Ovis aries: one gene and its partner. The protein of the gene in region 2 purifies or fractionates together with the protein of the main gene of each other region. This does not show direct contact. Links are inferred from orthologs where the notes say so. Each region holds a gene or a part of one and is shown on either strand. Other genes may lie near its edges.

Region 1 (6,248 bases), on a different chromosome or scaffold from region 2:
ACAAAAACAAAAACTGCAGAAAGAGAATAAAGGGATGACAAATGATTCCTATACTATACTTCAAGATACCTCTATATCATAACATGCTGGACAGAAGCTCTGTGCGAAAAAGGAGTGTGTAATATGAAGTCAAGTAGAGGAGGGACCATGCCCTCCAGTTTTTAGCATGATGCCTAGCATATAATGGGTAGCAATATTTATCTGTTGCATGAATCAGCAAATAAAGGAATGATAGGAAGACAGGAAGCGAGGGAGGGCTTCAGGTGGATGAATGAAAAACAACAGCTCTAATTTCTTCCCTCAATAAATCCTTATTGATTACTTATTCTAAAAGAAAGCTATCTACAATATTCAGATCAATGTTGTCTTCCAAAATGCTGCATAATTTCTAGATTTATACAACTCTACATAGAATATTCCAAAATAAACAAGAAATTGAACATTATATAAAAGCTATTCTGGCTCTGAGGCAACTGCAGGACCAGAATTCTTTATCTGCAATTCCAAAACCTAAAAAGTTTTGAAAACCAAGAGATTTTGTAAGTTTTGCAGTCAAAACTCACTTGGAGGAAAAGCTGACCTGAATTGATGTTAGCTAATTTGTGTATATACTTAGTTAGAATAACCAGACATTTCACTGAGAAACATTAGTATGTTCGGAGGTGCTGCTCTAGACTCCCCCAAAAGACTCTTTTAAAATGTGCACTAACTACCTCTGTAAAATCTGAAAAATTCTGAGGAATTCCAACCACATTTGGCTCCAGAGTCCGAAAGAAGATATTGTGTATTTATACGAAATTCCCCTTGAAAGACTAGAAAGAAACTGGGAACAAAATGTGGTCACTAATAGAAACAGAATTTGGCTGAGTCCCAATCTAAGTAACATATATTTTTTAATGTTTTCTGTGAAGAAAACATATAGGATTCAAATATAGCCATAAACATTAGATTTTTCTAAAATTATTTACAAAGTAAAACAAATTTTTAATCTTTCCTTTTTCAAGATTAAGATTCTGAACTTACCCTTTCACTTTTCACAGAACCTGTGACATCATCATCATTTAGGTGGCGCTTGAACTTGGGAGGCATCTTTTTTAATGAGGTACTCTTCTACTTCCCAGCAGGATAAATCTTTACCACCTTAAAGAGAAAATAAATTTCATCAGATTTGAAACTTAGGGGTGCAAGCTAAAGTAGTAAAAACAGCACACAAGGCCTGATGTGATGGGGCCCCCTCCACTTCTCTGACTTTCACTGCTCTCTCTCACACGGTCTCCACACAAGTGACCCTGGCCTCCCTCCATGCGAGGACTCAGTACACAAAAAATAGTTAAAACCCTGAGAAAAATGGAGGCAACTTTTAGAGAACATGTGGAGAAAATCAGTGACAACATTTTTATAAAATGAAACAGAAGACTCCACAGGAGAGGAGGGTAAAACAGGAGGTTGTCCCCTTGCAAGTGAGACATCAAATGCTTAAAGATTTTAATTTGGAGTCAGAAGACAGAAAACACTTCAAATTCTCTCACTCACTTTTAGTGAGTTGCATCAACAATGATTCCATTTCCTCATCTGTATAATAGTGATTTCTAGGCTTCTGCATGGAGTTGGGATGGTCATATCAGATTAATACATACATGCAAAAACATTCTGTAAATTATAATGCCCTGTTCCAATGCATAACACCAGGTGCTCCAAGGAAAGGGATATGTTTGCTAAGTGCTGGGTTAAACAAAGTCAGGTTTTCTGTTTGCTACAGAAAGTCTGTTTTTAAACTGCTTATTTGCATTGAGTTTTTCCAGGAACATGCTTGAATATGCATCATATTCAAAATTTTCTTGAGAAAAAGCTGACATATGCAAACAGAAGTTGTCAGTATCTTGGACAAGAAGATGGATGAATAATGAGAACAGCTAAGGTGTACTGACTATTTTACTATGTGTTAGGCACTGTGCTCAGTAACTTACACACATTTTTTTTTAATTCTTTACAACACTTCTTTGAAGTAAGCACCAAGAAACCAAGAGAAAACTAAGGCTTGGTAAAAGATAAGTAACAGCATTAATCACTCTACTGATTGAAATAGCAGAAACATAGGCCTAAATTATTAATGACTGTGCATGATCAATTTTAGTATTTACTCAATAAGCTGTCTATCAGGTTACACAATTCTGTTCTATAAAGACCATTTCCCTGTAACAACCGAGCAGCCCTTTCCCTTTGCACAAAACCACCTCTAAGATCTTTAAGCATAATTAGGCATCAATTTGGTGGTTAATCATTCACTTAAAAAAGAAAAAAACAAGCCCAGAGTCCAGTTTCATAAAAGATAAAGTAAAATTTTAAGTTGACTTCCCATCCAAACAAATTGATATAAACACTCTTCTTTGATAAGAAATAATTTTCCAAACCAGAAACTTAATCACTTGTAACAAAAACCAAGTACTTGCTACCTAAGTAACAGCTCTACAGTTCTTCATTCTACAATATTTCTGTCACGCACATCCAGCATCTGACCCATTTTATTCCTCATACTTCGATTTCTGAATAATTCATTCATGCAGAATGTTACAGAAAGTATGGAGAAACAGATGACAAAAGAAGCAACCAAAGGACGCGAGCTTTTAATTATACCTGTATTTTATTTATATTTTAAACTTTACAAAAGGGCTGCTTCAACATCCAAAAACAAATAGCAGGCAGACTTACATAACATCTTTGTGAAATGTACAGTAAAACTACAAGCTTAACGATGAGCAAACCCAAATTCAGGGTCCATAATCCAAGAATCAGCTTCATGAAGGCAAGAAATCACTGACAAACATAAAAGGCATCAACAAAGCAGCAGGCAGATTATTAACTGCAGTTGATGAACGACAGGGCAAATGATATTTGCACCAGACGACTAGCAGAAATAAACCATGCTCAGAAATTAGACTTATATATATTCTCCCTAGATCTCTCCTGCCCAAAATACATATAAATTCAGGTGTTTGTGTCTAGGTATGTATGTAAACAACAGAACCTTCAGTGATGTATTTCAACATCACCAATACATTTTTCTGTCACATCACCATAAGCTTCTTATGCCATCATCATACGTTCACAATTTCCTGTATTTTTTGAAGAGGCAGTAAGTAATATACTTCTAACCTGTTGTTTAGTAAATGCTGGCTTCTTTTTTGCTTTACGCAAACAACAAGCACACCAAAACCCCTAGTATTTCATTTTAGAAAAAGCTTGAAATCTGTATAGAGGGCTCCCTTTTCCCAGCCTCCGTTCCCTTTCTGACTCCTCTTCCTCAACTCTCATCAGCAATCTTGGTTGGTGCAGTTTCACGGAAATAAGTGACTTGGATGGACACCGCCTGAAGATGCTCTTCACAAAAGCTGTCAAAGTGTTAATGATTCACCTTACCCTTCCGGTCATTATAAATGCAACGGGACTGGCGCGCTCTCTCCCCAGTCTTTGAATAAAGAAACAAATTCATCCCTCCAGCAAGCAGCCCCATTCACCCGCCCCCCGCATCAGTCGCACCGGGTCACGTCCCCCGCCATCTGCTCCAGACTCTAGTCCTTTTTACCCCAAGATACGCACTCACATTCCGGGCTGCCTCCCACTCTTCTCGTCTTCCCTATCCCCGCCGCTGTTGTCCTCCCATCTCCCCAGAGCACCCTACAATTCCTGTTCTTCTCCCCCTTAACAGCCCCTTTTTGCACACCCAGGTCTTGATCATTCTTCCTCAGGGTAACCCGCCCCTCCGACCCCAGCCTTTCCCCACTCGGCGACCCCCGAGGCCAGCCCCTCAGCCCGACGCGGACGTTGGGGGCGGCGAGGCACGGACGCCGTCTCCGTTTCCTTCCTCCGCACATCCGCCCCTCCCGTCGGGCCCAGGAGGACGGCCGTACCTGAGTCTCCCGGGGAGCGCCCGTCAACTCTCCCGGGCGGACGGCGCTGGACGGGCGGGGGAAGGAGTGGGAATCGGAAGAAGAGAGCAGGGAGGGGGAGACAGTGGGCGCGGACCCGGCGTCGGCCGCTCAGCCGCAGCTGCGCCCCCGCTCATCGAGCCGATCGGCCCTCCGCAGCCTGGCTCCAGGCTGAGGGGGCGGGTCCAGGCCACGGAGATCGTCGAGGGAGTCGATTATCCCCCTCAGCTCTCCTCTTGGAGGCCGCCGCGGACGCGAAGCTTAGGCCTGGATGCCCCAGGTGATTTTGTCTGTTCAGGGAGGAAACACAGTCGCGGGTTCCCGGGTCCCAGCCGAGGTCGGGCGTCCCGGGGAGGTGGAGGAAGGACTGAGAAGTCACTCAGCGCTGGGCGCTGAAGGCCTGCTCGAGGCTGGGGTTGATGAGGCGTTAATGAGGCGGCGCTTTGTGCGGGGTCCATCCCCCGAGCTAATGCAGATTTGCCGAAAAACCGGGACGGCTCGAAGCCTGAGGACTGGCCTTTTCTGAAGGAAGGAGATCTGTGTGATCCCTTGTTTATAACATCAGAGTTAGACGTATAGATCGTCAGGGTTACTAATCTCGTCTCCCTATTTTAGACTTTAGGAATCTCTCTTACAAAGAGATTTCCTTAAGGTTGCCCGGCTCGGTGGACAGATTTTTGAGTCTAGGTAGGACTCAGTGTTCTCTCCCCAGTAAGCATGCTGTAGAGTTCTAACCTAAAATGCCTGGGTCCAGACACCACGCAGGCACCGGAGCCTTATCGTGGGAAATCAACCTTGCACATCCATTCTCCTGTTCTCTTGACTCTGCCCACCTCCTCTCCCCCCGGGTTAGTGGTTTATTTAAGCCGATAGTGCCTGGGCATAGTAATCCATAACGGTTCCAGCATTGTTTTTGTTATGTCTTGTTTATTATCCATTCCTCCCAGATACTCCCCAGCTGGATTGTTCTTAATGGTTTTTTTCTATCAATTTTTTTCTACATGTCATTTTTACGAAATATTTTTAGGTTCTTTGTTGAATAGTGTTTTGATTTAGTGCATATTTAAGCCAAACAAACACTAAGTGAAAGATACCTTGGTTGTCACTGAGCACTGGGGGCTGGGCTCCCTGTGTTATGTATAGCAGTTTCCCACTAGCTATGTTTTTACAGATGGTAGTATGTATATGTTACTGCTACTCTCTCAGTTCATCCCACCCGCTCCTTCCGCTCTGTGAAGAGTTGTTTTTGTTTTTGTTTCCTTCTTGTGTGCACAAACCCTTTGAGTCTGCACTAGATTTTAGGATTCCAGCACTGAGACCGAGCTCCAGAGATGCAACTGAGTCACGTCCTGAGCCAATGTCAGTATCTGTGTGCACAGACGTAGTTCTACCTGCCCTTGATTTCCCAGACTGCTCTCGATTTCAGTGATTGTATTTTTTGGTTCCAGAATTTCCATTAAAAATAAATTCTGATCCCCTTTTATCTTTTTGTCATTTTGGGGTAAATTTTTTAGGGGAGTGGCTCTACTGTGCAGCATGTGGGATCTTAGTTCTCCAACCATGGATTGAGCCCATACCCACCTGCATTACAAACATGGAGTCTTAACCCCTGGACCACCAGGGAAGTTCTATTTTTGAATATTTGAATCAAAGTCCTTGTCTGTTAATCTAATACATGAATTACCTGTGGGCCGGTTTCTATTGTGTATTTTTTTTCTTGGATTTTGGTGCTGTGACTCTCATCTCTGCTGGGTAGGTAAAGAGGCTAAGCAGAAAACTGAAAAACAGTGATTTTCTCATCCTAACTTCCTGTACCAAGTATTACAGCTTCCTAATTCAGCAAAATTTTGAGGGGAAACCATCAGGGTCCCTCAGTTCTTCCTTCCTTCCTTCTTTCTGAAATCCTGGCTCTCCAAGATTTCAGTTTTGTCTCTTCAGTCCTGTGAGAACCCAAAATATAACTTTTTTTTCTTTTGCCCCCCCCCCCCATTGATGACCCTTGACCCAGGCAAAGCCCAGGTGCTCAGCCTTCTACCGAGAATCAGTAAGTACCTCCACCTGGCCAAGGAAAAAGCTCTCCATTTTGCAGATCCCCCTCGGAATCTTGGCTCCTCCAGCCTCAATGCTCTAGCAGCTCTTGGATTGCTTTATAGAGATGCTGTTTGTATTTATCTGGCTTTTCCATTTATTTTTAGAGAATTGGTGTGTCTCAGTTTACTCCATCAGGCCTGAAAGTAGAATTATATCCAAACCACTCTTACACTACTATAAAGAGATAAGTTTACTTGCCATGACTACACAAGAAAATGGGAAGGAGGGGTT
Region 2 (6,105 bases):
AGGCTATGGTTTTTCCTGTGGTCATGTATGGATGTGAGAGTTGGACTGTGAAGAAAGCTGAGCACCAAAGAATTGATGCGTTTGAACTGTGGTGTTGGAGAAGACTCTTAAGAGTCCCTTGGACTGCAAGGAGATCTAACCAGTCCATTCTGAAGGAGATCAGTCCTGGGATTTCTTTGGAAGGAATGATGCTAAAACTGAAACTCCAGTCCATGCGAAGAGTTGACTCACTGAAAGACTTTGATGCTGGGAGGGATTGGGGGCAGGAGGAGAAGGGGACGACCGGGGATGAGATGGCTGGATGGCATCACTGACTCGATGGACGTGAATCTGAGTGAACTCCAGCAGTTGGTGATGGACAGGGAGGCCTGGCGTGCTGCAATTCATGGGGTCGCAAAGAGTCGGACACGACTGAGTGACTGAACTGAAGGGTGAAACTATCATACACACACCCTGCCTCCAACACACACACACACACACACACACACACACACACACACACACACTGAATTTTCCAGGTGGCGGAGGCAGACTTAGACAGGCAAGGCAACATGCCCAAGTTGCACATCTAATAAGCAGCAGAGCTGGGATTCTAAACAGATCTGATGCCACATGTGAACTGTTACCATAACACCTTTCTCAGTATTTCTGACTACAGCTACCAAATGATAGGCTTCACAACAGACCATTTTTCTCCCTGTACACGGTGAGATAAGCAACTAACTGCAAAGGAACCTTTTGCTTAAGATCCTTCAGGAAGCCTGCTTGTTGGCATGGAATTCCAGCCTCTATAAAGTATCTCCCCCACTTACAACTCATCGTCAGAGAAAGAGGAACGTTACAATTAGTGTTAGTGATGGTTTCCACTCATCCATTTTCCTGACTTTACTCCAGAATACAAATCATTAAAATCAAAGCTCAAATATAGTGCAATAAGAATATTACTTAAGAAGAGACTGATCTATCTTTTGGTCCACAGAGTAATCAAATTTCTTTTTGAAGTTTTAAAATATTTAATCTTTTCTATTCTCTTGGAAGTAACACTTTAACACATTGTACATGCACAGCAGAGAATGAAGTTAGTTGCAATCAATCCAATTTATTCTAATCCCATTTCAGTAAGTTAATATTTCAGGGACTAAACTGCTTTGGCTGAAAATTTTGCTCCAATTTTTAACCTTTACTTGGGTAATTTCTGGGTCAACCACCAATGATGCCAGGAAGAGATTATAATTACTTTTAATCATACTAGTTTTGCATGGTTGCACATAATCAATTCCTGTTGTCCACAGATATACATCTGAAATGCATAACTACAAACATAATATTTTTTATCTTTCCCTATTTATCAACTAGAAACAGATTATAAAATGAGCAAGTACAAATAATTATTGAGAGGGAAACCACAGTATTTTTAAGAATTACTATTTTATTTAATTATTCAAGTTAGTAAGCATTTTTCCAATGCCAGCTATAGTCTCCTTTCAATTCCCATGAAGCTGCTTCTTTGGACCTTACATTACATTGTAGCTGTAGAAATTCAAGGTCTCTAAGTTACTTAATTCAAAGGTTTCTATGTGGTAAGAATGGTCACATTAAAATAAAAGGGAAGAAAAAAAACAACAATTGTAACAAATCTGTTTTCTTGGAATTGGCTGTTACAATTTTGCACCCAGGAATGACTTTGTTACTTTATAGAATAGCTTCTCAATACCAAAGCTATTAGCCCAAACAAAAGAATGTTTGCTAAGCTACAATTCTGACAATTAAAACAGAGCAAAAAAATCCCACAAAACCACAAATCCTGATATTCTGAGGTTCTGGGACTGAAGTCAAAGGTAGGCTCCAACGATAATGACAACAAAAATCAAGATGATCTTGGGTGGTGGAGGAAAGCAGAACTGAAGAGAAGAGGCGAGGTGATGTATCATGAAGTGATGAGGCCACTGGCCACTTTCGCCACAACAATCTCCCAGGCAGCAGAGCTCCGTGGTAGATGCTACCTTGGTTCTTTCCTCTTGTTCCCTCACTTGGACTCATACACCTCTTTAAGACATCATCCTCCACCTCCTCCAGAACTAACTGGGACTTCAGGAGATGAATGGGGTGTAAGTTCAGAGATCCTGGCTTCAAGCAAATGTCCCTATTAATAGAAAACAGGTGTGGGAGGGGGAGGAGAAAAATAAAGAAATAAAGGAATAAAATTATTTATAAACACATAAGTTTGGGGAGAGGTGGGGAAAGGAAAAGAGGAATCACAGCTTCGGTATAGGAGAAATTATTGCTGGCATCAAGGACTGACTGACAAGGTGGAACAATGAAGTTGACCACCGGTTTACAGATAAACTTTACACCACAGAGTGAAGGTATACGGTTCAATTTCCCTACCACAGCTAAGTTCCTGAATAGCAATCTTATTTGCAACTAAATACTCAAATTAAATCTGTATTGAGAGAAAACAAATCCTAAAACAATATCCTACAGATGAAAATTACATGATATCATATTTATGTATCTGTTCATTTCCTTGAACATTTTCCTGAGCTCCTTCTAAGTAAATGCCAAGGAAACCAAAGATAGCTCCCACCTTCACATAGTTGACAGTCCAGCATTTAAAATAAGATGTGCTAAAACAAAAAAATTCTTCTGAATGACAGCTGTGGGATTTTAAAAGTGAGAAAAATTATTCTGTACCAATTTTTACACATCGTTTCTCAAGAAGGATGAGAAAAAAATAAATGAGCTTGGTAGTATGAAAAATATTAATGATTATAGCAGCTAACATTTTAAAAAAAAAGGATTTTACATATGTTAAGTCATTTAATCTTCACATGAGAGATGCACAATTCTTTCCATTTTACCAAGAAACAAAAGTTGCGGGAAGTTAAGAAACTTGCCTAAATGCAACTTCTAAGTGGCAGGGCTGGGATTTGAATCCAGGCACCACGGCTCTCAACCCTGCTTTTCTGCCTATAGTAATAACATCGTTACTAACAAAACAACGTTGCTGTATGGTGTAGACCCATGACCTTGGTACGTTAATTCATTCTCGTTGAATACTCTCACATCTCTGTATTTCACAAACAAAAGTAACAGAAAAGCCAACCAAAACGAAGACTCAGAGAAACGTTCCCATGGTTATACGAGTAAAAAGGTGGAGAAGTCCAGATAAGAACTCCAAAAAAGCTTCAGATTCCAAAGGCTCTGCACCCCACAATCCAGCTTGGATCCTCCCCTTACCCTCAACCCACTCAACCATTCCTCCCGGAGGCCCCGACACTACTTCATCCTCCAGGCTCGCGCCTAAGAGGCATTGAGGCAGAGTTCCATCGTCCACACCGGAGCCTCCCCACTTTCCAGGACACCCCCGCCCGGCCTAAGAAGCGCCCTTACCAGGTGGGAGTCGGGGGACCCTTGCAATCTTGTTGGTGATCTCTGCTGTGAGCACCGCGAAGTCCTGCTCGTAGCCTTCAAAGTCGGACGACATGGCGGGTTCCGGAGTGGCCGGCCCGGGTCGGAGCCTAGAACGGAGCTGAGGTCACGCGGGGCAAGAAAAACAGAGTGTAAGGACCCGGAAAGTTCCCTAGAGAGCGGAGCAGAGAACCGGGGACAGCTCCCAGGCCGACCGCTTCCTGGTTGTTCGTCGCGATCTTGGTCCTCCGGAAGTTGGGCTGGGTGCGTGTTTCAGTTTCCGTTTAGGCTCCAAGATTAAGAAGTTCTCTAAGGAAAACCCCTTAAATCAGTGTCCCTAAAAGCCTAAAAAAACCTCGTGTTCTCAGGAATCATTTAAAAGCTTTTTTTTCCTTCCTCCGCGTTTTGGAAAGTGGTTCCGGTTCCCCAAACTAGAAGCCAGAGGAACTTGCTTCCCGACGGAAGGTTGATGCGGCGGACCTCCCGGAAGTGGCTGTCACGGAGACTGCGCACTGAGCTCGAGCAGGAGAGCAGCTGCGAGGGCGCTGGCGGAGCGACGCGCGGGTCGTGGCTGGTCACACACCCCAGCTTCTAGCGCACAGAATTTACTTTCTACTTGCGTTGGGCTGGGGTACCCAGGAAGGAGTTATCCGAGAGGGAGAGAGTCTGCTCCGGGTGAGCCCGAGCCGCCCCAGAAATGCGATGGCCGAGGAGCGGGCACTGAGGACCGGACCGAGGTGGGAGTCAAAGCAGGGGACATGATTTTGCGGTCATCGCCCCACCCGAATGAAGCCAGCATCTCCAGAAAACCGAGACCAACCACCCTTACCAAGATGTTCGTCCCCTGCGTGAGGATTTCTCAGTGCTCTGCTCCATAACACGGGAGGGAAACTGAGGCACGAGGCAGCGCGACATCTCTTGCGTGGAAATCTTTGTTGCTCTGGTTCTCAGATCTTCTTCGCTTGACTCACTCCAGTCCAGTGCTAAATAGCCTTCTACAGATCTTCCCCGCGCTCGCCGTCCTGCCTTCCCGGTCCCTCGCCTTCCCCCCCCCCTCCCGCCCCCGCTCCCTCCCTCCCCGTCCCCCCAATAGTCTCATTCGTGCTTATTTTCATCTACGCCTCCGGCCCTGAGTTCACACACACGTCTCTCTCCTCACCTCCTCTCCCCGCTCCTCCCCTCCCCTCCTTGAGCTTTCATCCTCCGATTTCTTTACTTCTAACACAAGTAGACCTTACGTTAGCCTTTGAGGGGCAACCGCAGGCAAATGCTGTAGACCTTGTCTGGATCAAACTGGATTTAATTCAAGAGTGGGTAGGAGACAGTTCAGAACTCTGTAAAGGAGGTTTGATGATTTGGCTTCTGTCGGGTTCAGCTGTCACTCACCCAAGTGGTTTAATCGCTCAGCCTCTCTGAGCCATTTTCTTTTCTATGAAGAAGGAAACTGGATTAGGTCAACTATAAGGCCCTCCATCCCAGCTCTAAATTGTTTTTGTTAACTGCAGCCTTTCACTAAACGCTTGCACAGACATAATCCTCTGACAAGTTAGGAACAAAGGGAAAAAAACAACCACTTAAGAATCATGGATCCAGTTTACCTGCCATTCAGAATTGACTAAAGTTTGGATAAGATGAAAATGGTTCTCTTTGATATTTGGTGAGATACTCATTCATAGTAATGTACTTGTGAGCTGCTTCTATTTAGGCGATTATTGAAATTAACAAATACAGTAGATAGTAAAATGTCTTACCCAACCTTCTCATTTTGTTTTCTTTAGATTAAGTTTCAAACCAAGGTACTGGATTCTCCTAGATTAAAAAGTGTCAGTGAAAATGGCATAATCTGCATTAACATCCCACAACGTGACGACATGACAATTAAGGAACACACACGGACTTGTGGCACGAGGAAATGTGTGCACAGAAAAAGGAAATCTGTAATTCTTTAAAAACTGGAAGACATTCTTCCTCACCAAAATGGGTACATTCTGCTCAGTTGTCAAGTTTGAAAATCTCCAAGAATTAAAGAGACTTTGTCACTGGGGTCCCATTATAGCCCTTGGTGTTATAGCAATATGTTCTACCATGGCCATGATTGACTCTGTGTTGTGGTATTGGCCCTTACATACCACTGGAGGAAGCGTGAATTTCATTATGTTGATAAACTGGACTGTCATGATTCTTTATAATTACTTCAATGCCATGTTTGTTGGTCCTGGCTTCGTCCCTCTGGGGTGGAAACCGGTAAGAAAAAGGTTCCTTAAAATGGTGAACCCTCATGATAATCATATATTTAGTTTTTTCCTTACCTACCAACCAATAATATCAAACATAGCCTACTTTTTACTTTGGTGGAGACTAAGCATATTATTCTAATCACTGGCCATTTAGAGCTCAAAGAATTTTTTTCATACCTGCTTGAAAGTATTTCCCAAAGCGATTTCAATGAAAAAAAAAAAAGGAGTGGTAGTAATGAGTACGTGGTCATAAGTTTCTAGGAAGCACTGTATATTGTGTACCTCATAATTCCACAGTGTGGTTTGGCACTGGGATTTTTTTTTTCCATGTAACATGTTAACATCCCTCATAACTGAAAAAGAAAACTTTAGAAGCTCAGTTCAGTTCAGTTCAGTCGTTCAGTTGTGTCTGACTCTTTATGATGCTCAGTTCAGTTCAGTTCAGTCGCTCAGTTGT

The links. The genes of interacting proteins can lie anywhere in the genome.
Region 1: the proteins of VTI1A (region 2) and VAMP4 purify together in Homo sapiens (affinity purification with mass spectrometry; 4 studies listed by BioGRID and IntAct, counting the BioPlex papers as one, with this or other methods). This does not show direct contact. The link is inferred for Ovis aries from reciprocal best matches to the Homo sapiens genes VTI1A and VAMP4.

The regions. Positions count from the first base shown.
Region 1 is NC_056065.1:38,443,485-38,449,732, forward strand, and holds the start of VAMP4 (vesicle-associated membrane protein 4), read right to left. Parts: upstream 4,065-6,248; 5' UTR 3,909-4,064; intron 3,831-3,908; exon of another isoform or gene 3,602-3,830; intron 1,141-3,601; 5' UTR 1,090-1,140; coding exon 1,024-1,089; intron 1-1,023. UniProt on the Homo sapiens protein: Involved in the pathway that functions to remove an inhibitor (probably synaptotagmin-4) of calcium-triggered exocytosis during the maturation of secretory granules.
Region 2 is NC_056075.1:32,505,171-32,511,275, reverse strand, and holds the start of VTI1A (vesicle transport through interaction with t-SNAREs homolog 1A), read right to left. Parts: upstream 3,643-6,105; 5' UTR 3,488-3,642; coding exon 3,394-3,487; intron 1-3,393. Other genes in the region: palmitoyltransferase ZDHHC6, read left to right, coding at 5,389-5,655. UniProt on the Homo sapiens protein: V-SNARE that mediates vesicle transport pathways through interactions with t-SNAREs on the target membrane. These interactions are proposed to mediate aspects of the specificity of vesicle trafficking and to promote fusion of the lipid bilayers.